Linked DNA regions of Arabidopsis thaliana. The protein of the gene in region 2 interacts with the protein of the main gene of each other region in a pairwise test. Each region holds a gene or a part of one and is shown on either strand. Other genes may lie near its edges.

Region 1 (7,170 bases), on a different chromosome or scaffold from region 2:
ACTTTTAGAAATTTATGCGTTCTCAACAAAAAGAAACCATCAAAGGTAGCCCTCTTCCGAAGAAAAATATTTGACTTTTATCAACCTTATAAACTAACAATCGAAAACTCATCCCAACACAATCTTCTACCTTCTTCTCTAATCCATATAGATTCCACACTTCAGCCAAAAAAAAAAAACGAGGATGGAGGTCCCAAAATCCTCATTGCTAATGATAATTTTTGTGGTAGCTTCATGTTTCTTGCATGTCAAGGCTTGGCATGGTCAGACTTATTGTGGTGGCAATGCGACTCCCCGATGCCAGCTCCGGTACATCGACTGTCCTGAAGAGTGCCCTACCGAAATGTTCCCCAACTCTCAGAACAAAATTTGTTGGGTTGATTGCTTTAAACCCCTTTGCGAGGCCGTGTGTCGGGGTAATTATTTAACCACCAATTTCTTTTTGTAATTGATGATATACCAATGCAGTTTAAAATTAGAATTAATAGAATTTCATCATTTTGATTAATTTTAGATTTTGAAAATATGTTTTAAGATTTGGATATGATCTTTTGTAGCGGTAAAACCCAACTGCGAATCCTATGGATCAATTTGTCTAGATCCGAGGTTCATAGGTGGTGATGGAATTGTGTTCTACTTCCATGGAAAGAGCAATGAACATTTTAGCATTGTCTCGGACCCTGACTTTCAGATCAATGCTAGGTTCACTGGTCATAGACCTGCTGGCCGCACTAGAGACTTTACATGGATCCAAGCTCTCGGCTTCCTCTTTAACTCCCACAAATTCTCCCTTGAGACCACCAAAGTCGCCACTTGGGACAGCAACCTTGATCACCTCAAGTTCACTATCGACGGCCAAGATTTAATTATCCCTCAAGAAACTTTATCCACTTGGTAATCATAGAAACTCAAATTTTACCCTATCATTTTTGTAGGTTGCGATTGTTTCAACTTTTAAACGTCATCTTTGTCTATTCGTTTAGATTTTCATGTAAACACTCATTATTTTAATGCATATTATCAGGTACTCATCCGACAAAGACATCAAGATTGAAAGGTTGACAGAGAAGAACAGTGTGATCGTGACTATCAAAGACAAAGCTGAGATCATGGTCAACGTGGTTCCAGTGACCAAAGAAGATGATAGAATCCACAACTACAAATTACCTGTAGATGACTGTTTTGCCCATTTTGAGGTCCAGTTCAAGTTTATTAATCTGTCCCCAAAAGTCGATGGAATCTTGGGACGCACTTATAGACCCGATTTTAAGAATCCGGCTAAACCAGGAGTCGTAATGCCAGTGGTGGGAGGTGAAGATAGCTTTAGGACATCTTCTCTGCTCTCTCATGTTTGCAAAACTTGTTTGTTCTCTGAAGATCCCGCCGTTGCGAGTGGCTCTGTCAAGCCCAAAAGTACATACGCATTGTTAGATTGCAGCCGTGGTGCGTCTTCCGGCTATGGACTCGTCTGCAGAAAGTAGTTACCAATACAAACTCAGTTTGCTAAGAATTACAGATATTAAAAGTATATTGTTATGTTTTGTGTACGTATAAAATTTATATGTTTGTCAAAATAAAACAGAGGAATAAGGTAATTAAGAACCAAATTCTAAAGAAAGTAATTGTAACTCAGTTATTTACATGTACCAGATTATCTAATCCTTAAGAAAACCATTATATTTTTGTTGTGCTCCAAATACGCAGTAATCATTTAGAGCCTAGCGTAAATTGATAAAAAGGTTATCTTCTATTTGAACACTGACTTCAAAACCCAACTTAATTAAGACATCAAAAGATGTTAAGCATCACACTCTTGGATCCGGCTATTAATATATACAATGTACTTTTGTTGTTTTAAGATTTCCAAAAGTCAAATTAATAAAATGAGCAGCTTATTGCAGCAAGTTACAATGCTCCTAATATAAGGACCGATAAGTGTGGATCACGCTCGTGTGGACGTAACTTCTAAAGACTTTTTCTTTATTTTTGAAGTTTCAAGTTTTTAAAGTCATATACATTTCAACTTAATGCATGTGTGGGTGATGCCCAGATAAGGCACACAAACCCGGCAACTCCCGATCTCAACGTGAAGTAAAATAGTTTATTTTAAATAAATTTACAGAGTGGCGTCTACAAATTCACAATCAACACGTTTCTTTTGACACCAGTCGACACATAATAAAACAGGAAGAATAAACTAGACATGAAGATCTCAAACACCTCTTCGTTAATGCTGTTTTTTCTTGCGGCCATGTTATGTTTCTTGCGAGCCAAGTCACAAGGAGTTTACTGCAGCAACCCTTAGGAACGATGCTTCCAAAAGTACATACTGTGTCCGCAAGAATGTCCCACCACCGGTGCCGCAAACTCTATGAACAGAGTCTGTTACGTAGAGTACTCTGCAACTCCGAGTGTCGCAGTAAGCGAAAATGCCTTTGAACTTTTTGTATTAAGCTTTTTACCAAATTTTGGGTGTTAAGTTATTCAATTCAGAACTTAAACCGTTTTGTGCAAATGGTATCAACACATAACCGGTGTAAAAATATTGGTAACCATTTATTTTTCTCTCCGTTGAGAAACATTACACATTTGTGGGCCGTCAAGTTGGATCAAACTAGTCCCCAGTCGAGCCTTTTTCCTTTGTGGAATCCTAAGCCTCACCGAATCGGTAAAAGCCCCATATAAATCCCTATTATTTACATCAATTGCCACTCTACTATCTCCAAGTTTTTTTTTTACTTTTTTCACCCATCAGTAACTTCACATCTCTCTCATTGCCTAAACTCGAATGTTTGACCCGAAACACCAAACCCACTCGAGCTGTACCCGAAACTCTGAGTCAACCCGCTCGAGTTCTGCTGCCGATTCACATGCCCACTCTCCGCCTCACCTTCCGCCGCTCGAAACGCATCGTAACCACCGTAACTCGGTAATCCATTGGTCGGAGCTAGCTCTGGAATTGGATTAAGACCTGCCAAGCTAGCCCAATCAAAGTTCCCGTTAAGAATCGTCCTGAGCGAATTCATCCGAGGAAGATTAAAAGACTGGTCTTTTATCTCCGGGAACGAATCAAGAACGTCGTCAAGCTGTGATGAAGAAGACGATGACGACCCATTCGTGCTATGCTCTTCACGACAAGCTTGAACAGGAGTAACAGCTTGTCTCTGAGATCCAGATGTTTTCTTGTAAATTCGACACAACACCCAATCATCCAACTGTAACAAAGAAGCAAACTTTATCAGATTTTGATTTCAATTTTAACGAATTTGGATCTGGGAAAGTTTCAGTCTTTATTTACCTTGGAGCTTCCATGGCTACGAGAATGTTCTATTAAGCGATACTCGTGCATAATCCAGTTGGTTTTAGTGCCTTTGGGAGCTTTTCCGGCGTAAAAGACCAGAGCTTTTTTAATCCCGACACGACGACCATCCGCCGTGATAATTTTGTCAGTACCCGTTGCTTTCCAATAACCCGACCCGGCTACTCTATTGGGTCTTGACCCGTTCGGATATTTCCGATCTCTTGGGCTAAAGAAATACCATTCCTTCTCTCCAAACAAAGCCTTACCTAAATAGTTACAATTATACTCCCTTTAGTTTTAACATTTTCTCAAATTAAACCCAAAAGTATGACAATTGAAAATAACACCCTACAAATGTGAAACATGTTTGCTTACTTGGCAAATCCCAAGGATCGAACTTGTAGAGATCGATGTCTCCGATGACCTGGAGAGAGAAATGATAGCCTGCAACTTTCCGACATAGATACTGAACAAGAAGCTCTTCATCTGTCGGATAAAATCTAAAACCTGGTGGCAAACTCAACTGGGCTAACGGATCTTTCTCTCTAACACCCATTTATACTCTTCTACTTCGATTCCTCAGCAACCAAAAAAAAAAAGATTTCAAGTTTCGAACTCTAAAAACCCAAATTATATGTTTTTGTTTTTATGTTCGTCGATCTTTTGGACAATATAGTAAGTAGTTGGTTTATATAGGCTACGGAAAAGCCAAAGGTTCTTCAAGGATAAGTACGGTCGTCCTTGTCTTACTGTTCTAAAATCTAATTACGATTTTCTTTGTGGACCCGTTTAACCATTTAGATACTGCCACGTCTATGAACTGGCCGACCTTATCGATGTGTTGTACAATATTTTCCAGCGATATAAATGTGCAAAAAACACGAGGAAAATTTTCTCATGAGTAAGAAATTTGTGTACTACGATTATGAGAAAAGTCCGCTGAGTGATTGCAGTAATTTATTTTTTCTTATTCCATCGTGACATGTAAAATGTCTAAATATTTACTAGAAATATTCTAATTATAGTAAGTTTTTTTCCACTGAGAAAGCAATGAAGCTTTATTATTTCTATATTCGACTATATTGGTGCCGTTCGGGTGCATGAACCGTCAGGAAAAGCTAAAGTTTATCGACACGTGTTAAGCCAGTTGTCCTTTCTTCTAGAATTTTGATCAAAAGCCTAACAACGATGTGTATCAAAATGCTCCAAATAATTAGAGGCCAGTTCGATATTTAGTTTGTCCTGAAGCACTCGATCACTACATAGATTGGAGTCAGAAAAAGAAAAGAAGAAGCACTAACTATTTGACAGATAAATCTATTGAGTAAAACAAATGGCACTAAGACGTTTTTATGAACAAAAGAGTATTAATCAGACACGCGTGGAATGCATTTTCCCGTCCGTGTGAATTGTACACGTGTTGGGAGAGTTAGGCAAGACTTCAATATAAAAGAATCAAAAGAGACAAAAAAGAAGAAAAAGTAATAATAAAAACAGCAGAAAATATTGAACAAGTGTACAAACTACAAAGTTCTAACTAAAATAAATTGAAAAGATACGTTAACATAAGACACGTATATACAGAACACTAATAGTATGATTTTAATATTTTTTAGTTAAAGATAATAACATTTGAGAATATATGATCGTTTGTATTATACCATTAAGATTATCTCACAAATGTAGCAAGTAGTCTCTTTGTTTTTGATTAAAGGATAAATTTCAAGTTTTGTCAGAACAACTAAATTCGATTTTTATATATATTTCAATGATTATCTCATAAAAGACTTATTTCATATATTTTAGTTTATATTTAAACAAAAAGAGGTTAATTAGGGTTTCGTTCACTCAAGAAATACTAGAAATGGCCTAAGAAGTTGACAAGTGAATATTTGGACCATGCTGAACAGGTCAGAGAAGCCTTTTTATATATAAACATGTGACGCGATTCAAAGAACTCGATTCTTCTTCTTCTTGATAATTCTTTTTTTTTTGTTCTTAATTATTATTATTCTCTACAAATCGTTTTCAATTGCTTTTCGGATTTTTAGATTTTAGTGAACGTGGAGAATTCTTGTTCACAGAGAGATGGACATGCCCACCCATTTCTTTTGTAAGATAATAATTTCTGAATATCAGCAAAGATACGACAAGTTTGGTTCAACGATTCGCATAACTGCAAAATGTGTTGATAAGAAACTCATCAATCGCTATTCAATTAGCGTATAATGCTCTTATGATCCTGACAAAAAAATAAATTAAGAGATATGGTTTTGATGACAATGAGGTAAAGAACAGATTGCCATAATCTAAACTTGTTCAAAAAATTCTTCAATGAATTTATTTTATTTTAATAACATTTTTCTACTTTTTTTTCAAAAATACATTTTAATTGACAGAAATTTACCACTTTTGCGATAAATATCGTTGGTGACGTTTAAATCATTTTAATATTTGTTTAGAGAATAAATAGGTAGACTTCTATTTAATGAGTTCTAAACGTATATTATATATGGTCTTTTCTAAAGTATGTTTTTCTCTGCCAAGTTACATGTTGGTTAAAGCTTTAAAAGAGATAAGGTGATCACGAAGGTTTACCAAAAAGAAAAAGAGAGAAAACAAAAACAAAAGGCATTATGCTTTCTAAATGCATAGTCTATATATGCACTCTACATTTGTACATAATTAATTCGACAATACTTATAGTAGATAAGCAAAATCTGGACTACATAATTAATTCGACACTCATAATTGATTTAGTGATGACTATTCCATTCTGAATTTTAGACTCTTCTAAAATTTTGTAGATGGTAGCACCTAATCTATATAGAGATCGATGATTCTTAGACCCTTTTTTACCAATGAAATGTTTAAATAGTTCCCACTTCAACACAATTCTTCCAAAAATGACAAACTTCAACATATATATATATATATATATATATATATATATATATATATATATATAGTTTTAAATGAACTTAAAAACATAAATTGGAAAATGGTTATTAATTAAGAAGACAATTCTAAGTGTAAAATAGCGATCTGTAGCTGCAATTGTTTTCTGAAATTGTTGAATAATTATTTTGTTCGTATATATGATGAATAGCGTACAACATACAAAACAATCAGCTGGTTTATATATTAAAAATAAAATGAGAAACTAAGAAGGCCGCAATGGGTACCAGCGACTAATTAATTAACTTTTTAAGTCCTCTTCCTAATTTTCTTTAAACAGAAAAATTAAAATAATTTTATTATCTCATTTATGTAAATTAGAGTTTTATGTTTTCTCAAACGCTTGATGTCTTGTTTTTTTTGTTCTTTAATTTTATTTATAACACATAAAAACGTTACTTTGCAAGAAACTACAAAAAAAATTGGCTGAATTTTTTAGGGTATTGTCTGGAAACCAAGTTAAATCATTGTTCCCCTAACACCACTTATTGCTTGAAGTAATCTCAAATAATGGGTTATGTGATCATATCATTTGGATAGGAGGCTTGGAAGCCCATAGACCATAGTACGTTTACTATATATGCACCACAAATTCGTCAGCAGCTCGAATACAATTTCTTCATTTGGTTTTTGGTTTATATCAGAATATGACTTTTTAAAAGTGATCAGATAAAACCGCGTGAGCTAAAAATGTCTTTAGATGTACGAATTAATGAAGACTGGAATGATAACGTGTAAAGTGTGTTGGACTGGGAGCGCATACCAATAAGCAAACATGAATTTGGCTTTGAACTTTCCTTTTATACACACACAGAACATGTTCTTCACATTATACTACTTAGATTCTGATATAACTTGGACCACTTCAGCCGGACCAAATCAATCTCTCAAACTATAATTGATTTAACAAA
Region 2 (7,768 bases):
TCGTAGATGTAATGTATGTGTTGGTTTTGTCTAAGCGCCTAGACGCTTAGGCAAGGGCTATGTTGCGAAAATCCTATGGACATCTTGATTTTAACCAGATCAATCAAAGAACTGATCAAGGGATAATCATCTTGATTTGAACCAGATCAATCAAAGTGCAGCATTTAGCTAGGGTTCTCAGTATTTAGTACAAGCCAGCTAGGACCATTATATGTAGTGTAGAGTTAAAACAAATGATTCATATCTATATATACATTTTTGCAGTCATTTTAACAAATAAATCCTGGACTTAGAACTTATTTACGACTCAATGCCACTGAATTTATTTTTTTCAATCGACATTTTAAATCAAATATTTACCTAACAAAAATATTGCCTAAAATGTCTCTATATTAAATCCACCATTACTTCAAAAAAAGTCTAACATTACTTCAAAAAAATCATTCCTAAAATCTCTCTTAAGTATTTATTAATTTTCGGTTTTAATTTGCTGCAAAAAAAAAATCGGTTTTAATAGTACAAAATATTTTAAGGTAGAATTTTCTTTCCATATTTATTTAATATTTCGTTTTTACAGCATTTAATATTTTGTTTATAAATAACAAATTAATTATTTAGCATTCAAGAAACTTTTTTCTAATCTATCCTTTAATTATATTGACATTATTGATTGATTTTTAAAATATATAGAGATTCAAATCTTCCATATATGTTTATCATCTTCTAAGGAAATTAAACAATTATTTTCTGAATCTAAACTAAAATTTAGAAAACTAAATAAATAAATAAAATCGTTTTAATTATTTTCTAAGCTAAACTATATTACACTATGATCTTTAGTTTTGAATCATTCATTTTCATTGTAATATAAAGAATCAATCTCATATTTTCCGTGTTATACAAATAATCAATCTCATATTTTCAGTTAGTAAAATGTACATGTATTAAAACGTAACAAAATCATCGTTCTCAAAACTATTTCAAATATATTACAATCTCATATATCACGCAGATTTCTTCAAAATTTGAACTAAATGTCGGTAACTATTTATAACAAAAAATGTTTGGCAAACCAAAATACAATTGCAATCCCTTAAAATGAGCAAAACGCACTTAAATACATTTTTTTATCAATTCACTAAATCTTATTTCTCCAAAATTTAAACTAGATTTCGGCAACTATTTAAAACAAAAATTGTTTGACAAACTAAAGTACAATTGTAATCCCGTAAAATATTTATTTTAATTATATATTTAAATCAACGATGTACTGTAGTTTTTTTTTACGGGACGGGTTTGGCGGGACGGGTTTGAAAGGACATTACTTAATAACAGTTGTAAACTGTAAAATAAATATATTTTATAGATAGATATAATTTACGAACTTTTATATATACTAATTTAAAAAAACAATTGTTCCCGCGGTGTACCGCGGGTTAAAATCTAGTATATTACATTTTAGTTAATACATATAACGATTATAACCAAATTCATACAAAAGACATGGAAGTAACTAGGTTGTGTGTTTTTATTGGCACCAACAGTTGCCAGTGCCTCAACTTATAGATCAAGCGGTATCATACATGATCCAACTGAAAGAGAAGGTAAACTATTTGAATGAGATGAAAAGGAGAATGTTAGGAGGAGAAGTCAAAAATCGCTCTGAAGGGTCGTCTCTTCTGCCAAAACTCAGTATTCGTTCACTGGATTCGATCATAGAAATGAATCTGGTTATGGATCTAAACATGAAAGGAGTAATGTTACACAAGCTTGTGAGTGTTTTTGAAGAAGAAGGAGCTCAAGTGATGAGTGCTAATCTTCAGAACTTGAATGATAGGACCTTTTATACAATCATAGCCCAGGTACATGCATGTGTCATGTTTTTTTTTTTTTTTTTAGCAGCATCTCTTTGTTCCATATCATTAAAATATAGTTTGAACTTTTTTTGAAGGACTATATATATATGATAAATTAATAATCACCTAAATGAATATTTGCAGGCTATCATATGTCGGATCGGGATTGATCCATCAAGGATAGAAGAGAGATTAAGGGATATAATCTCATGATTAATTTTTTGAAGCATTATTGAATCCCAAATCACAAGTCTTTTCTTAACAAATTAAATGTGTTAGTTCTTTAAACATGAGATTATGAGTATTTTTAAGAGTGAATTGGTGTAATAGCCCTATTGTTGTTTAAGTTAAAGAGAATGATCAAATGTCTGAATACCATTTCCTCAAGTATATGAACGAAAAAGCCTCTCACATCATCTTCAAAATCTCTTTATTTTCTCTTTTCTTTCTATGCCTAATCTCTATTACGTTTATAGAATCTCATGTTTAAATATAAAATATATTATCTACTTTTATTGTCAAGAACTCTCAAATTTTCTTTCATTGAGCATTTTAAGCTCAAATATTTTATTACAGGCGCCGTCTAAAATAGTCGTAATTGATATTTGCATACATAGAATAGATAGATGTTATGCATCTGATGACTATCTTCAAAACATGTTCAAGGGCATAGGCATTTGGATCCACTTTTGGAGTTTTTCATATTGCGATAGCAAGGACATTCATCTTTGTTTTCTCCTAAAATCACACATGGTTAGATTTTGTATGTGAATATAGTTAACTAAAACTTAAAAAACATGTATATATACACGACATAACTAGTAAACAAATCTTTTTTTCTAAATGTCTTATATAAATTGGACAGTATATATAGATCGATAACAAAAATTTCGCTACAAATTTTCTAACTATAAGTAATCATCCTTTTCTAGCCACAGAATTAGTTACAAGTAATTATAGGCTTAACATTTTAAAATTGGGCTAATCTGTATTTCTAGTCACGGATTTTCAATGGCTATGAATTATGATAGTTACCAAATGACTATTCTCTTCTTGTACGAATTCAAATATTTGAAGAAGGAAAAAAAGAATAACATGTGGAAAATGCAATAAGGATATAATTGTCCCTTACTCAGTTTCTAAGCAAGTGGTCAAGCAGCGAGACGATATATACACAGTGTTAGTATCATATTGCGGCTCCTTTTACTTTTTATGTCAGTTTGCTCAGTGGCAAAGTTATGACCAACATCTACCTGGAGTACTCCAAGACTCAACAAAACTAGGCATGTTTAATTTTCTGTCTTTGTATTCACCTCCGGTGAACGTTTAGACGATCGGTCCATGTAGATCCCCTATCCGGTGAACGATGTCGGCCATACGGCCAAAGAGAGTTGAGGGCCTTTAATAATTTATGTAAGGAATGCCGAATGTGTTGTGTCCTTTTCTTCTATGATAATGATAGCTTGTTGAATAATCTTAGGTTATGGCGCCTTATGATACTTTCCTCGGATAATGAATACGTGCACCAAATTAATTGAACATGATGATACTATTTGATTTAGTGGTCCCGATTCTATCAGTATACAAAACAATTTTCCTTTTCTATTTGTTGATAGAAACATATATAGTACTGTTGTAAGGAATTCATTTTTGTCTACCGTGGCTGTTGACTATTTTACGCCATTGAAATGATTTTTGATAATAATTTTCTCCAAACCTACTGTAAATCACAGGACTTAAACTCATGGTTAGTAATCTGAAAGAAGAAGAATCATATCTCTGAACGTTAGGAATCTCATCTCACACGGTAAGCATGATGCTATCTAAACTATGTCTTTGAACGTTAGAAATCTTACATCGAAATTATGATGCGTCCTAGTAATGTGTCAACCCACCAACAAATCTAATTTTTTTTTTAATGATAAACAACATATCTAATTGTTTTGAAACTTTTGTATCTTTAAGAACGTGGAAATTCCGAAGTAAATAGTAAAATTTACTTGGTAGGAAAGATGCATGCATCTTATTAATTTAGTGTGTAAGCTCACGGACGCAATCACAAAAGCCATGACTTTCTTCCAAAACATCCCTTTCATCTAAATCACGTAGCTCTTTCTCTCAAAGTTGAGATTTGTGACTCTGTATCTCCCGGCCCTCTCTATCTCTTTAACTGTATATAAAGAGAGATGGATTTGAAAAGAGAAACTTGTACATAAAAGCTTAAAAGAAAACAAAAAGAATGGGGAGAGCAAGAGAAATAGGAGAAGGAAACTCATCGTCGTTAAGGGAACAACGAAACCTCAGAGAGAAGGATCGAAGGATGCGCATGAAACATCTCTTCTCTATACTTTCTTCTCATGTTTCTCCCACTCGCAAGGTCCGTTTTTTCTCTCTAACTCTCCCTCTCTCTCTTTCTCTCTCTATATATATCTTATATTAAATTGTAGATGTGTTTTATGCGTATATACAACAATACAAACATTATCTACATAATTACTGTAAGATGTACGTTTTATTCTAAAGAGATAATATTTTGATTAATTGAATAGGCAGTTGTCCCTCTATGACCGTCCATATTAGCTCTCTTTTAAGTACGGTGTCTAATTGACAAATAAATGATTCACGTAGCTAGGGTTTTTACGGTTTATTTATATATATTGAATATAACCACATTCATGTAAAAGATTAATGAAAGTAATTATCTTGGGGTTTTTTTTGGGATCTAAACAGTTACCAGTGCCTCACCTTATAGATCAAGCGACATCATACATGATCCAATTGAAAGAGAATGTAAATTATTTGAAAGAGAAGAAAAGGACATTGTTACAAGGAGAACTCGGGAATCTCTACGAAGGGTCGTTTCTTCTACCCAAACTCAGTATTCGTTCGCGGGATTCGACCATAGAAATGAATCTGATCATGGATCTAAACATGAAAAGAGTAATGTTACACGAGCTTGTGAGTATTTTTGAAGAAGAAGGAGCTCAAGTAATGAGTGCTAATCTTCAGAACTTGAATGATAGGACCACTTACACAATCATAGCCCAGGTACCACATCCACACGCATATGTTTGTATAATACACACGTATATGCATGTGTCATGTCTTTCGTATAAATTTTTATTACATATATTTGCAGGCTATCATTAGTCGGATTGGCATTGATCCATCAAGGATAGAAGAGAGAGTACGGAAAATCATCTATGGATATATATATTTTGAAGCATGAAATCCCAAATGATAAGTCTACGCTAACGCTAGTGTGTTTTTTCACACATGTGTTAGTTCTTTAAATATGAGATGAGTAATTGCTTTTGAGTTCGATTATGATAAATATGTTGACCGTCAACATAAGAAACCTTAAAACGTTGTCGTTTCGTTTTTATTCATCCCGGTTTAATTCAGTTTGGCTTGGCGTGATTTTAGATTGGTCCAGATTTGCATAATTTTAACCACCGAGTAAGACAGTGGGATGTAAATGTCAATAAAATACACTATTGGGGTAAATGTGAAAAGAAAAAAATAGTAAGAGGCTATATTTGAAAATCTAAATATCGCACAAATTGCAACCCTTATTTTAGATTTAGGAATTTTGAAACCCTTGTCGAAGAGAAAAGAGGCAAAATCTCAGTATAAAGTTTCTCAAACACTTGTGGTAAGAGAGCAAAATCGTGAGAGATGGATCTGATTCAATCCTACGAAGAAGAAGACGAAGCCGTTGCTTCCTCGCCGGAATCTTCACCGCCTCGTATGTTAAAGGCGAAATCATCGGCGCCGGAGGTAGACGATACGGCACTAGCTCTCACGGTGGCTAACGTGAATCAATCGAAATCGAAGCCGATTGACCCGACTCAACACGTCGTCTTTTATAACCCTACCCATGATCAGCTGTGGGCTCCGATGTTCGGCCCCGCGCATCCGTATGCGAAAGACGGGATCGCTCAAGGGATGCGGAATCATAAGCTAGGTTCTGTGGAAGATGCTTCGATTGGATCGTTTGGGTTTGAAGAGCAGTACCATACGTTTCATAAGTGCGGTTACGCGGCGGATCCGTCTGGGATGAACTACGTCGGCGATGTTGAGGCGTTTAAGAAGAACGATGGTCTTTCGGTTTTTAATATTCCTCAGAGTGAGCAGAAGCGGAGGAAGATTGAGAGGAGCAAAGAGGAGAGGGAAGGGGAAGAGAAAAAGGAAGAGATTGAGCCGGAAGCTGAGAATCCGGAGACGGAAGCTTGGCTTAGGAAGAATAGGAAGAGTCCGTGGTCGAGGAAGAAGGAGGTGGTTCAGGGAGAGTTGACGGAGGAGCAGAAGAAGTATGCGGAGGATCATGCCAAGAAGAAGGAGGAGAAGGGACAACAAGGTGAAACCAAAGGAGAGCATTATGCGGATAAGAGTACCTTCCATGGCAAAGAGGAGAAAGATTATCAAGGAAGGTCTTGGATTGAGGCTCCTAAAGATGCTAAGGCGAACAATGATCATTGCTACATTCCAAAACGTTTGGTTCATACATGGAGTGGGCACACGAAAGGTGTTTCCGCTATTAGGTTCTTCCCAAAGCAAGGACATTTGCTTCTCTCTGCAGGTATGGATTGTAAGGTTAAGATTTGGGATGTGTATAACTCTGGTAAATGTATGAGGACTTACATGGGTCACGCCAAAGCTGTGAGGGATATTTGCTTCTCCAATGATGGGTCTAAATTCTTGACTGCTGGGTATGATAAGAACATTAAGTATTGGGACACGGAAACTGGCCAAGTTATATCGACTTTCTCCACTGGGAAGATTCCGTATGTGGTTAAGCTGAATCCGGATGATGACAAGCAGAACATTTTGTTGGCTGGTATGAGTGATAAGAAGATTGTGCAGTGGGATATTAATACGGGGGAGGTTACGCAAGAGTATGATCAGCACTTGGGGGCAGTTAATACTATCACATTTGTGGACAATAACAGAAGATTTGTCACGTCGAGCGATGATAAGTCTCTCCGTGTTTGGGAATTTGGGATCCCGGTGGTTATCAAGTATATCAGTGAGCCTCATATGCATTCTATGCCTTCCATTTCTGTTCACCCGAATGGAAACTGGCTTGCTGCACAGAGTTTGGATAACCAGATTCTGATCTACAGTACCCGAGAAAGGTTTCAGCTGAATAAAAAGAAGAGGTTTGCAGGGCACATTGTTGCCGGTTATGCATGCCAAGTTAACTTCTCGCCAGATGGACGGTTTGTAATGTCAGGAGATGGTGAGGGTAAGTGCTGGTTTTGGGACTGGAAGAGCTGCAAAGTGTTTAGGACTCTTAAATGTCACAATGGAGTATGCATTGGAGCCGAGTGGCATCCTCTGGAACAGAGTAAAGTCGCAACTTGTGGTTGGGACGGCTTGATTAAGTACTGGTATGTAACCTTCTTCCAGACTATTTTGTTTATTTGTTTCTCTTGTCATGATGTGTGGTGTGTGCCTTTACGTAACAGCTGCATAATAGTTATTATTGGTATATATAATTGTAGCAAAGCTAAAGTTGTCATCTGAGTATCCTTGCATGTAACATGTGTCTTAATTCTTTTGGAATCAGATATCGTATATTCCTAGTGTATGAGTAATACTTTGAGTTCACATCTGTGGAGTGATTTGGAAAGAAAGTTTGACTTTGATTCTAATGGTTTTTATTCATAAAGAAGTTGCGCAATTGTAAAATCTTTGAAAATTACCAGTCCATGTAACCATGTCGTAATCTCATGGCTAATGTTTGATTGTGATGTTTTGTTGCACATTTGCAGGGACTAAGACAAGCAGAGGCATTTCGGAGAAAGAGAGAGTAGAAGGCACAGAAATCACGGCCTAGCCTGGGCTATACGGAATGCTGCATCTTTGGGATACAAAGCCCCTTTGAGTTTTGCTTTCCGCTGTTTTAG
Region 3 (10,560 bases), on a different chromosome or scaffold from region 2:
CATCTTTTTGATCAATCTCTCATTCAAAATCTCATTCTCTCTAGTAAACAAGAACAAAAAAATGGCGGATACAGCTAGAGGAACCCATCACGATATCATCGGCAGAGACCAGTACCCGATGATGGGCCGAGACCGAGACCAGTACCAGATGTCCGGACGAGGATCTGACTACTCCAAGTCTAGGCAGATTGCTAAAGCTGCAACTGCTGTCACAGCTGGTGGTTCCCTCCTTGTTCTCTCCAGCCTTACCCTTGTTGGAACTGTCATAGCTTTGACTGTTGCAACACCTCTGCTCGTTATCTTCAGCCCAATCCTTGTCCCGGCTCTCATCACAGTTGCACTCCTCATCACCGGTTTTCTTTCCTCTGGAGGGTTTGGCATTGCCGCTATAACCGTTTTCTCTTGGATTTACAAGTAAGCACACATTTATCATCTTACTTCATAATTTTGTGCAATATGTGCATGCATGTGTTGAGCCAGTAGCTTTGGATCAATTTTTTTGGTCGAATAACAAATGTAACAATAAGAAATTGCAAATTCTAGGGAACATTTGGTTAACTAAATACGAAATTTGACCTAGCTAGCTTGAATGTGTCTGTGTATATCATCTATATAGGTAAAATGCTTGGTATGATACCTATTGATTGTGAATAGGTACGCAACGGGAGAGCACCCACAGGGATCAGACAAGTTGGACAGTGCAAGGATGAAGTTGGGAAGCAAAGCTCAGGATCTGAAAGACAGAGCTCAGTACTACGGACAGCAACATACTGGTGGGGAACATGACCGTGACCGTACTCGTGGTGGCCAGCACACTACTTAAGTTACCCCACTGATGTCATCGTCATAGTCCAATAACTCCAATGTCGGGGAGTTAGTTTATGAGGAATAAAGTGTTTAGAATTTGATCAGGGGGAGATAATAAAAGCCGAGTTTGAATCTTTTTGTTATAAGTAATGTTTATGTGTGTTTCTATATGTTGTCAAATGGTACCATGTTTTTTTTCCTCTCTTTTTGTAACTTGCAAGTGTTGTGTTGTACTTTATTTGGCTTCTTTGTAAGTTGGTAACGGTGGTCTATATATGGAAAAGGTCTTGTTTTGTTAAACTTATGTTAGTTAACTGGATTCGTCTTTAACCACAAAAAGTTTTCAATAAGCTACAAATTTAGACACGCAAGCCGATGCAGTCATTAGTACATATATTTATTGCAAGTGATTACATGGCAACCCAAACTTCAAAAACAGTAGGTTGCTCCATTTAGTAACCTGAATTGCCTCCTGATTCTAGTTGATCCCCTTCAGGGGATATAATACATTGGATTTGGAAGTTTGAAGGATCTTTCTGACATTGCAGAACCCAACAAATCACTCCATTGGTCACCTGAATTGCCTCTGATCCTATACCCTTCTTTCACCATCTCCTCTCTCTTCTCTGACTTGTACATGGTCGCTGTTTTGTTCCGATCATCCAACGATCTATTAACATTAAGCAGCAAACCAAAGCGTCAATCATCCATTCAAACCCAAGATTACAATCCAAGATCAAACAACGTCATGTTACCACAACCATGGATCCAGATCAATAGTTGGTTAAAAACTGTATGAGCTACATTGTAATGGAGGTCCAAAAGTAGAGTATGCATACCTCAGAATAAGCTTGTCCCAGTTATGGAAACCGGCATTGCGCAGGTTTTCGACAGTGATAACCCGGTGGTTCTCTCTACGCCCTGTAAGCAAGATAACTTTGTACCCCAAATGTATAACCTTTTGGTAAAGCTTCAAGCTTGGTGCTATAGCAGGTGCTATCCCTTTCTCTACCCACATATCAAACTTTGAATGATCAAAAACTTCCAACCTGCAAATTCCCAAACAGAACAAACATTCACATTTATCATACATAGACAAACAAGCAAAGAAAAAGACAGACAACAACACATACCTCAAATCTTAACTAATTCGACATAGTAAAAAGACAAATCCATCTATACAATTATCAAGGAACCAACTTTTTATAGCAATGTTGTAAAATGAAAGATTTAAGATAAATTACCCACAACCGTGTTCCATGTAATAAGGAAGATTCGACAATAACGTCTCATCAATATCGAAAATCCAAATGTCTTTCCCGTCACCGTTAGATTCGAAGCTGCTCGCGTAAACCTTAGCTTCTTCGGAGACTCTCTCCACATCGACGACGTAACCTTCACCCATCAGGTAATCTTTCACGTAATCGGCGCATTCAGCTGGAATGGTTTTCCATGGAGCGAGATTGTTTGTCTCCGCCGCGAATCTCCAGCTCGTGCAATGTAGATTGACATTGTCGTTTATGTTCTTGAGCTGGGTTTCGAAGATCAATGGTCGCGCAATGAGATACGAGCTGGAGTTTTCATTGGAGAACGCCAGAGGAATCAAGGAGAAGAGAATGAGATTCACGAGAATCCGCATTGTATATCGCCGGAAACGCCGGGAGAAAAAAAGTTGAGATTTTTTCAATTGGGTCTTCAAGAGATTCAGGACATAAGCGAAATCCGAAGAAATATCAAAGAGAAGAGGAGATTTTCCATTCTCTAATGATGAGGAAGTGGATTATAAGAACCCTAGAAACAGTGAAACATTTCCTCTCAAGGTCCTTTTTTCAACGGAGAAATGAGGATTCTCGGAGAAAAGTTTCTGTTTCTTTTTGGGCAATGGAAAGGAAGAGAGACAAAAAAGACCAAAATACCAAAATGAAAAATAAAGGGCAATGGTTTTGTGTTCTTATTTGGAGGCAAATTAACGGATGGATCCGAATATTCGTTTACAAGATGATTAAGGTTTCGTTTCGGTTTATATTTTTGATTCAGCATGTGTGTAGTAGTAGTACAAAGCAAAACGTCTTGCCGTTTATATATCCACAAAAACGCTACACAGTTTGGCTTACTACTATCGTGTAGACCTCCATTCCATGATGGCTGTGTAAAGAGTATAATTGGGTAAAAGGTTCTTGCTATGCAACGGTGAATCCGTCATCGGCGATGTGTTGTGCTCCTTAAGCCACTCCTCTATCGCATGACGGTCGTATGTGTATCCGTCTGCTGCAACGCACGGCTCGTTCATCACGTCCTGCATTATACCACACAAGCTCACACATTTTCACCACAACACACTGAGATGAGATGTTTCAACATTGAACAAGGTTTTATATAGAGTTTACCTTAAGTAATGGGCAGATGAAATGAGTGGGAGGCTGTGTCGATACGCCGGAAAATGAGTTCCTTGCCTTTTCAGCTACTTTCTTTAGGTTTTCGAGCGCTGGAAGAATCTGATCTTTCAAATCAGGTCTATCTTTCCCGCGTAGCTCTGTACAACACAAAGCTAATGCGGCCAATTCCCGGGTTTCTTCAATCGGCCAGTTACCGGCTTTCTGATCTAAGATCTTAAGGAACTCATCATTACTATCCATTGCGCTCTCAACGAAATGTGTCAATGCAATAGCAGGTTTTGCTGTGAGAAGCTGAAGAAGAATCATTCCAAAGGAGTAGATATCTGATTTCGATGATATCCTTCCAGTGCGCTGATATTCCGGATCAATATAGCATAACGTTCCCACGGGGCTTGTTTGTTTGTATATAGTGAATTTAGTTGATAGAGGATCGACTTGAACCATCGTTGAGAGTCCCACGTCTCCAACTTTGCTGACAAAGTTGTGATCAAGTAAGATGTTTGCAGGTTTAAGATCACGGTGAATGATTGGTTTAGGCTTTGATTTGTGGAGGAAGACAAGAGCCGCTGCAACTTCCCAAGCAATCCTAAACCGCTCAAACCACGGGAGTGGCGGACTGTTGTTGACCTGGAAAAGTCTGTCCTCCAAGCTACCGTTTTCCATGTACTCATAAACTAAAGCACCTTGCTCCGGGCACGCTCCTAGAAGGAGAACCAAATGTGGATGCCTAATCTTGCTCAAGATTTCGAGCTGCAAATTAGAGAGGCCAGTGAGATAAATGTAGACTCTTATCCACAAGAATTGAAATTAAAATCAGAAAACTTCCATATAGTGAAAGGCACAAAATCTCAAACAAAGTTCCTTAAACCAAATTTGAGCTCACTTCCATACCTCTTGTTGGAATTGTTTGGAAAGTTGATTTTCAGCTGACTGCAAAACTTTGACAACTGCAGTTGTATGATGCAGATTACACTTGTAAACAGCTCCGTAAGCTCCCATTCCGATCTTCAGTTCTTCTGAGAATGATGAAGTGGCAGCCATAATTTCTTCCCAAGCAAAGTGCTGATATTGCAGCTGAGGAGACCCGAGAGTGCCCTCGAGCTTCTCTTTCTCTTTAGTATCACGTGCGGATTTCCTTTCGGCTTCTCTTCTCTGCGCAATTTCTCTCTCTGCTCTTTCTCTCATGCTCTCTGCATCTCTCCTTGCCTTCTCAAAATTCTGCTTTTCCTTTTCTGCTAACTCTCGAGCTTCATACTCCTTCAGCTTTAGCTCTTCAAGCTTTATGGCTTCTTCTAACCGACGTTGGTTAAGTTCACCAAGCTGAAACATTTTCAGAAAAGCATTGAGCACAATTTAATAAGTTTCATCAAATGCAAAGATATATGATATTATGAGGCCTTCACCTTTCGAGAAGCATCAAAGGTTTCGGTTTGAGCCACAGCATACATTTCTTGAACGTGTCTAAGCTCAGCTCTCAACTTCTCAACCTCAAAGTTTAGGTTTACCTGAACAAATAATCTTATATTATTCCGATTCACAAGACAATGTCGAAATTAAAACTCCATTTTATACCTGGTTGTCTGTATAGGATTGTTCACTTAGAGCATCAGACATGTTGGAAGCTTGTTGAGAAGCCCGAGAGTGTGTAGTATCGACACCCATGCCACTCCAACTAAACCTAGTACCAAAATTCCCGTATTCACGGTTGCTCGAAGAAGAACTCATAGCTTCTTTTCTCTCCTCATAATCTCTACGCCGAGGAGTCCAACGTGATGTAGTATCTGTGCTGCTTCTATTGATACTTGAAACATCTCTAGCTTCCTCTGCATCCAAAGACATGCACCTGGTTTCATCCGAGCCAACAGAACTCGTTTCCATTGGAACTGATGCCTGTCCTGCAATTGCAGGGAAATGTTGCATTCTCCTGACCGGAAGGGATAGAGGACGAGATTGAGAGTCATGCGCACTTGACATTACATCTGATGAATCTAGAAGAGAAAATGGGGTAACAGAATTAGATATACACACCATTTCTAGTAGAGTATTCACACAAATACATTGATGAGTCATGGACCTGAGGTGGGACCAGAAGAACCGCTTGAAGAATTTGTTCTCTCACTACCATCTTCTCTTATAGTAGCATTTCCGTCTGAGTCTGATGGTCGGACGCATGACAATTTACCTTTTGAAACAACATAGACTGTACAAAAGTTTGGCATCAAAGCTGATATCACCGAGCAAATATCAGCTTTCCTGGAATTTTCAAAACAGATTCATTGGTACACGGAATAGAAAGAACAAAGGTCGAAAGCTAGCAGCAGGGTGGTAGTGTACCTTGAGAAAAAACTACGGGATGAGCCTCCAATGACAATTCTGTCTATTGAATCCCGAGTCACTTCTTCAGCTATTGCGGCTGCCACATTATCTGATTCGATCACAAGAACTTCTACTGCAACCTTTCATTAAGGTAATTCAATGAGTTCATGTAACCTTGAAATTTTCATTAAAGAAGAGCGTAAGATATCTCATTATACCAAAGAAAATACCTTTCTCCGCACGAACAGTTTTGTGTAAGGTTTAAGCATTTCTTCAGACTGCCACAGTATTTCCTGTCTATATGCAGTTACTACATCATCTCGTACCTCGGAAATCGGGATTGCATTTCCCACTTGAGAAGGAGCAAGAAATGTACATCAGGCTTTTTATCAGTTACAATAAGTCTTGATTTTGTTTTACACAACAATACCAAATAGAAAAAAGGGAAACACAGGAAGAAGTCCTGAGTACAAGAAAGAAAGAAACAGAAATACAAGGCATAGTTGGAACTTTACTTGGTGTAGGTACAGAAGTAATCATTGGATGGATGTGAAGCAGCTTGAAGCCAACATTTCCTTCAGTAGCAAATTTTTCGATCGCCCATGTAACTACATATTTGCTTTTACTGCTCCCACTTAGAGCCACAACGACGGTACGAGATGGGGGAGGAGGAGGAGGAGGAGGAAGAGCAAGCTTGTCTGGTGATCTACTCATTGTTAATCTTTTGTGTTCTTGTTTCTATTGACCCTGCACACTACAACCATTTCAGACACTGCAAAACAATGTTCTAAAAAGAGTGTTTTGTTCCTAAAGTAGAGATAACATGAAAGAAAGGGAAAGCTAAAACTCTCCAGTCAGTGGGAATCAACAGACAGTAATTATATTTGAACTCACATAGCTGAATGTTGAATATCAACTCATCAAACCGAAAAGGCAAATAATAATAAGTATTGACAGAATCTAACGGAGGTATACCGATCATGAGATACTCTTAATAGCGTTGAAAGTCAAATGTCTCAGAGTCTAATTTGGACGACCAAAAGGATCGTAAAGCAACAACACTCAACGACCATCGAAGCTAACAAATAGCTAGCTTCTTATAAAGATAAAAAAAAAAACTCAAACTTTCCAATAAAAATGTCAACTTTGAGCACAATGCAATTGCAGAGAATTCGAAAGGTTATGAAACATTGATCAAGTCAATCAAAGGGACCATCTTCAGGGCATAGAGTTAAACAAGAAAACCAGAAATTGAACCTACCTGGTAAATAAAGGATGCGACTTTAGTCAAACCCAATACAAAAATTGAGAGAAGAAATGGTGGAAGCTTCCATTTCACAGAGCAATCAATTTCAGAAAATAAAGAGAGCAGCAGAAGAAGAAGATGAAGACCCACGTTGGTGCTGCTAATCTCAGATACAAACAATGGGTTCTTATAACCAGAGAATCTAAAAAAGATTTGAAAAGAAGCATCAAAAATAATAAGAAAATGAGACAAGTTGGTCATGTTAATGGTCAAAGGAGGATCAGTCCTGGGTATATACTCTTTTGTTCTCTCGCCTGAATTTTCTTCATTATCAGAGTGACAGAAGGAGAGTGTGTTCTAAAAGAAAGAAGTTTTCTCCAACCTTAGGCCTTGACTATTAGTTTAATCATAGTTTATCTCTTAATTCCCTAATTATTTGGTATTTAACTACATTCCTCAACGCCATTATTATATCGAGTTTGGCCATAGTTGCACGCATGATCTATGTCTTCCTCACGTCTTTTTGTCTCCTCCCCTTTATGCATAGTGGAGTGGTACAAGACTTTGGTAGAGTTCACCTACAACATTGGTTCGCATTTGAACCGTGATTTGGCCGGTTCAATTTAAACGCCGGTTTACGAGTTTTAACCTCTGGCTGATTAAGTAACCAATTTTGGCAAAATCCAAAGACGAAGGCAAAACTCTCTGGCTGATCAAGAGGATTCGATTAGGCTCTTTGACCTTGTCAACAAAGACCTTTTAGAATAAAAGCATTCAAAGTATCTATAGAAGCTAAAAACATTAAAAGTTACTTATGGAAAACGAATTGGCATGTCATTGTTCCTTGATGATTGATGATAAAAGGTGGAAAAAACTCGAATTTTAAACTTGTCTTGTCTCGACGCTAAAATCTTCATCCCCTGTAGTCATTCATCATGAAATATTCGATCAGGACACATTATTTTCAAATTTCAATTATCTAATATCTCTATAAACTTAAAATCTATTATTATTTTCTTATGTTGATTCTCCTTTTTTCCGTACGAAATGTCTTCCCACTTTCAAATTGGTTTTGGAGTTTTCATGCTCTTGAGTCTAGTATTCGTATTACTATTGTGTATTCTGAATGTAAACGACTAGTGTTCAGGTCAATATATCAATGATTATTTTCTCCATTCTCGTTTTGTTTGATGCAAAAACTAAAGAACAAATTCTGTCAAAAATATAAGAATATATATCAATATTGTGTTGCACTACATAATATTCTTTTTACTATGAATGGCCATCTTTTTTTAAGAAAAAAATGGACGAAAAAGGCAGAGTTTGTCCAATGAAAACTGGATAAATGACATTAGTAAATAGCAAATGACATATAATTTATTTATAACTTATTAATAGGAAATTTGCAAATGGGTATTTTCTTACAATTTGTTTCTTTTGTTGTGTGTGTGGTCAAGATCTTCTTTTAATACATGATCGAGTGTAGAAACTCTAATTATATGGCGATGATGAAATTTGATAGTGGAAGAACTTTTAAATATGATAATTTACAATGTTGAATTAGATACAAATATCTTAATTTATTAATGGCTGAAATGACTTGATTTATTAATTACATAAAGGTTTAAATGCAAAAGTAACCTTTGTGTACACATTTGTTTTGAATAGTTTACAAAGTTACTCTAAAATAATCTGCTTTGTAATATGAAAATATCATTTTTTGGTAAAGAATGATATTGAAAACATGTTTGCAAAACAACAGACTTACCTGTCAGATACATACACACATCAACTTAAACATAGTTTGACCACACTAAAAATGCCTATGTTCGTTGACATTCACGAACAAAAGAAAAACTATTTACCCATAAATTCCGTGAAATTTTTGTCTAACTATGATAAAAATCCATTATTTTGGATTAAAATTCAAATAAAATCCAATTGAAAACGCTACCGAAACTCAAAATGAAAAAGACCTACAAATATGTTTTGGTTTATATAAACCCATACATATGTTACACGGAAAAAAAGAAAACTACTATTACGTACTGGTTTTAGACTTTTAGGTTTTTAACCACATCCAAATTATCCAAATTGAATATGAAATTTTATGATTTGATCTATGTACACCTTTAGTTATAATAAAGCATAGTCTCTTTTTTTTTTATTATGTTTTTATTTCGTTTTTGGAAACTCATATGCTGACGTACCAAATAAATTTGGGATATATAATCCAGTATTGAAACAATTATTATTATAACAACAGTGGAGTAGTATTTTAATGCATTTAATGGAAAAAAAGAAAACAGAGTAAACGGATAAGCGTGTCGTGGAGAAGAAGGACCAAAGCAAAGTAAAGAAAGTCATATATTCCTGAAAATCTATAAAAGACATTTCGCATTTATCCACTTCCTCGATTCAATCAAAACTGCTTCAAGTAAAAAGCCTACGAAATAGCATCGGACCAAAAGACAAACTCACCGAGTAAACATACGCAACCTGTCGTGTAAGTAAAAACAATTTGATAGTGATCTCTCTATGTTTGGTGGAGGAAGAGGGCCTATGGGTGGCGGCGGAGGTATGTTACGCGCCGCCGGTCGTGCGATGACGAGGACCGGTGTAGCCAACGGTGGTATTCAAGATCCCTTTGCTTCTTCATCATCATCGTCCACGTCGTCTCCGGCTGGAAACGCCTCTGTTTCGCATGTCCAGAAACAGAGATCTTCTTCTTCTGGGTCGAATAATCTGACGTATTCCGCGGCTTCTGGGTTGTTGTTGAATCTTCCGGTGGCTGCAACCTCCGGATGGAGCGGCGGCGGTCCTTTTTCCTTTGTTAATTCTGGAGGTTATGATGATTTTGAGTGGGTTTCTGAGGAAGAAGATGATTCTCTGTTTGGCTCTGTTCCTTCTGTTGATGAAGTCCAAGATGCTGTTTCTGCTCTCCAGCAGTAATCTAATTTCTTCTCTTTTCTCATTTCACTTGAAAATGTGTGATTCTTTGGATGTGACTATTTGAGTTTGAGTCTTGTGGAAATTATTGTCATAAAATCTCATAAATTGATCACTTTTGAGTGGTAGGTATTAGTTCCCACGAGTTGTCTAAGTAATAGAGAGAGACACGAGAATTGTTATGGACTGCTATAGTGTCTCAAAGTTTAATTGTTTTCTTTCCTGATATGGATGGAATTGTCTTGATTTGATGATCTTGAAGAAGTTTGAAACTCTTTCAGCTGTGTCTCCGTGACCCCACTCAGTTGTTTTGTACTTAAAATACTTTCAAAAGTTGTTTGCTGGTTTATTCATAATAGTAATTGGTCTTTGTTATCTTATGGATTTCGAAATATTTGTGTTCTGTTTACGTGTTGGAGTAACGGTTTTGTTTTATTTTCTTGAAGGGTTTTCGATGCTAGTTCATATTCCCAGCTGGTTAGAGACAAATACGAGTGCTATCCGGAAAATGGTGGTGGAAACCAGAGCCCTATAGCCACAGGGATGGTTCATCAAGTTCCTTCATTCGGGTCGGATTCGGACTGGATGGAGCCATCAATGCATTTATGCCATTCAAGAACGTTAAAGCCTCATGCTTATGATCAGGTTTACAATGCTTTTGACCTACTACGAACCGAACCATCTGTCCAGGTGATACTTTCTTTTGTTTTCTTGATTACACTAAGCTCATGTTTACTTTTTGGTACATGAAGAAAGGGCTTTTTCACATTTTAATGCAGAAAATGGTAGTATCATTGTCGTCTGACAAAGCAGTTTGGGAGGCGGTGATGAACAACGATGTGGTGC

The links. The genes of interacting proteins can lie anywhere in the genome.
Region 1: the proteins of AT1G10585 (region 2) and RD26 interact in a two-hybrid assay, tested with the Arabidopsis thaliana proteins (one large-scale study listed by BioGRID).
Region 3: the proteins of AT1G10585 (region 2) and AT4G25160 interact in a two-hybrid assay, tested with the Arabidopsis thaliana proteins (one large-scale study listed by BioGRID).

Annotation. Positions count from the first base shown.
Region 1 is NC_003075.7:13,705,157-13,712,326, forward strand, and holds RD26 (NAC (No Apical Meristem) domain transcriptional regulator superfamily protein), read right to left. Parts: upstream 3,858-7,170; coding exon 3,649-3,857; exon of another isoform or gene 3,591-3,648; coding exon 3,299-3,590; intron 3,216-3,298; coding exon 2,772-3,215; 3' UTR 2,744-2,771; downstream 1-2,743. Other genes in the region: AT4G27400 (Late embryogenesis abundant (LEA) protein-like protein), read left to right, coding at 185-416, 558-894, 1,025-1,481; AT4G27415 (uncharacterized protein), read left to right, coding at 5,396-5,530. UniProt on the Arabidopsis thaliana protein: Transcription factors that bind specifically to the 5'-CATGTG-3' motif and with bipartite regions with 5'-CGTr-3' and 5'-YACG-3' as cores.
Region 2 is NC_003070.9:3,491,432-3,499,199, reverse strand, and holds AT1G10585 (basic helix-loop-helix (bHLH) DNA-binding superfamily protein), read left to right. Parts: upstream 1-3,955; 5' UTR 3,956-4,095; coding exon 4,096-4,233; intron 4,234-4,515; exon of another isoform or gene 4,516-4,544; coding exon of another isoform or gene 4,545-4,586; coding exon 4,587-4,904; intron 4,905-4,995; coding exon 4,996-5,085; 3' UTR 5,086-5,430; downstream 5,431-7,768. Other genes in the region: AT1G10586 (basic helix-loop-helix (bHLH) DNA-binding superfamily protein), read left to right, coding at 1,545-1,862, 2,001-2,069; AT1G10580 (Transducin/WD40 repeat-like superfamily protein), read left to right, coding at 5,535-7,249, 7,634-7,640.
Region 3 is NC_003075.7:12,900,437-12,910,996, forward strand, and holds AT4G25160 (U-box domain-containing protein kinase family protein), read right to left. Parts: upstream 7,161-10,560; 5' UTR 6,781-7,160; intron 6,267-6,780; 5' UTR 6,234-6,266; coding exon 6,035-6,233; intron 5,872-6,034; coding exon 5,750-5,871; intron 5,660-5,749; coding exon 5,538-5,659; intron 5,457-5,537; coding exon 5,278-5,456; intron 5,192-5,277; coding exon 4,776-5,191; intron 4,709-4,775; coding exon 4,607-4,708; intron 4,524-4,606; coding exon 4,095-4,523; intron 3,954-4,094; coding exon 3,195-3,953; intron 3,104-3,194; coding exon 2,924-3,103; 3' UTR 2,744-2,923; downstream 1-2,743. Other genes in the region: OLEO1 (oleosin 1), read left to right, coding at 62-414, 655-823; AT4G25150 (HAD superfamily, subfamily IIIB acid phosphatase), read right to left, coding at 1,300-1,477, 1,647-1,856, 2,052-2,446; AT4G25170 (Uncharacterized conserved protein (UCP012943)), read left to right, coding at 9,304-9,713, 9,977-10,021, 10,161-10,404, 10,494-10,560. UniProt on the Arabidopsis thaliana protein: Functions as an E3 ubiquitin ligase.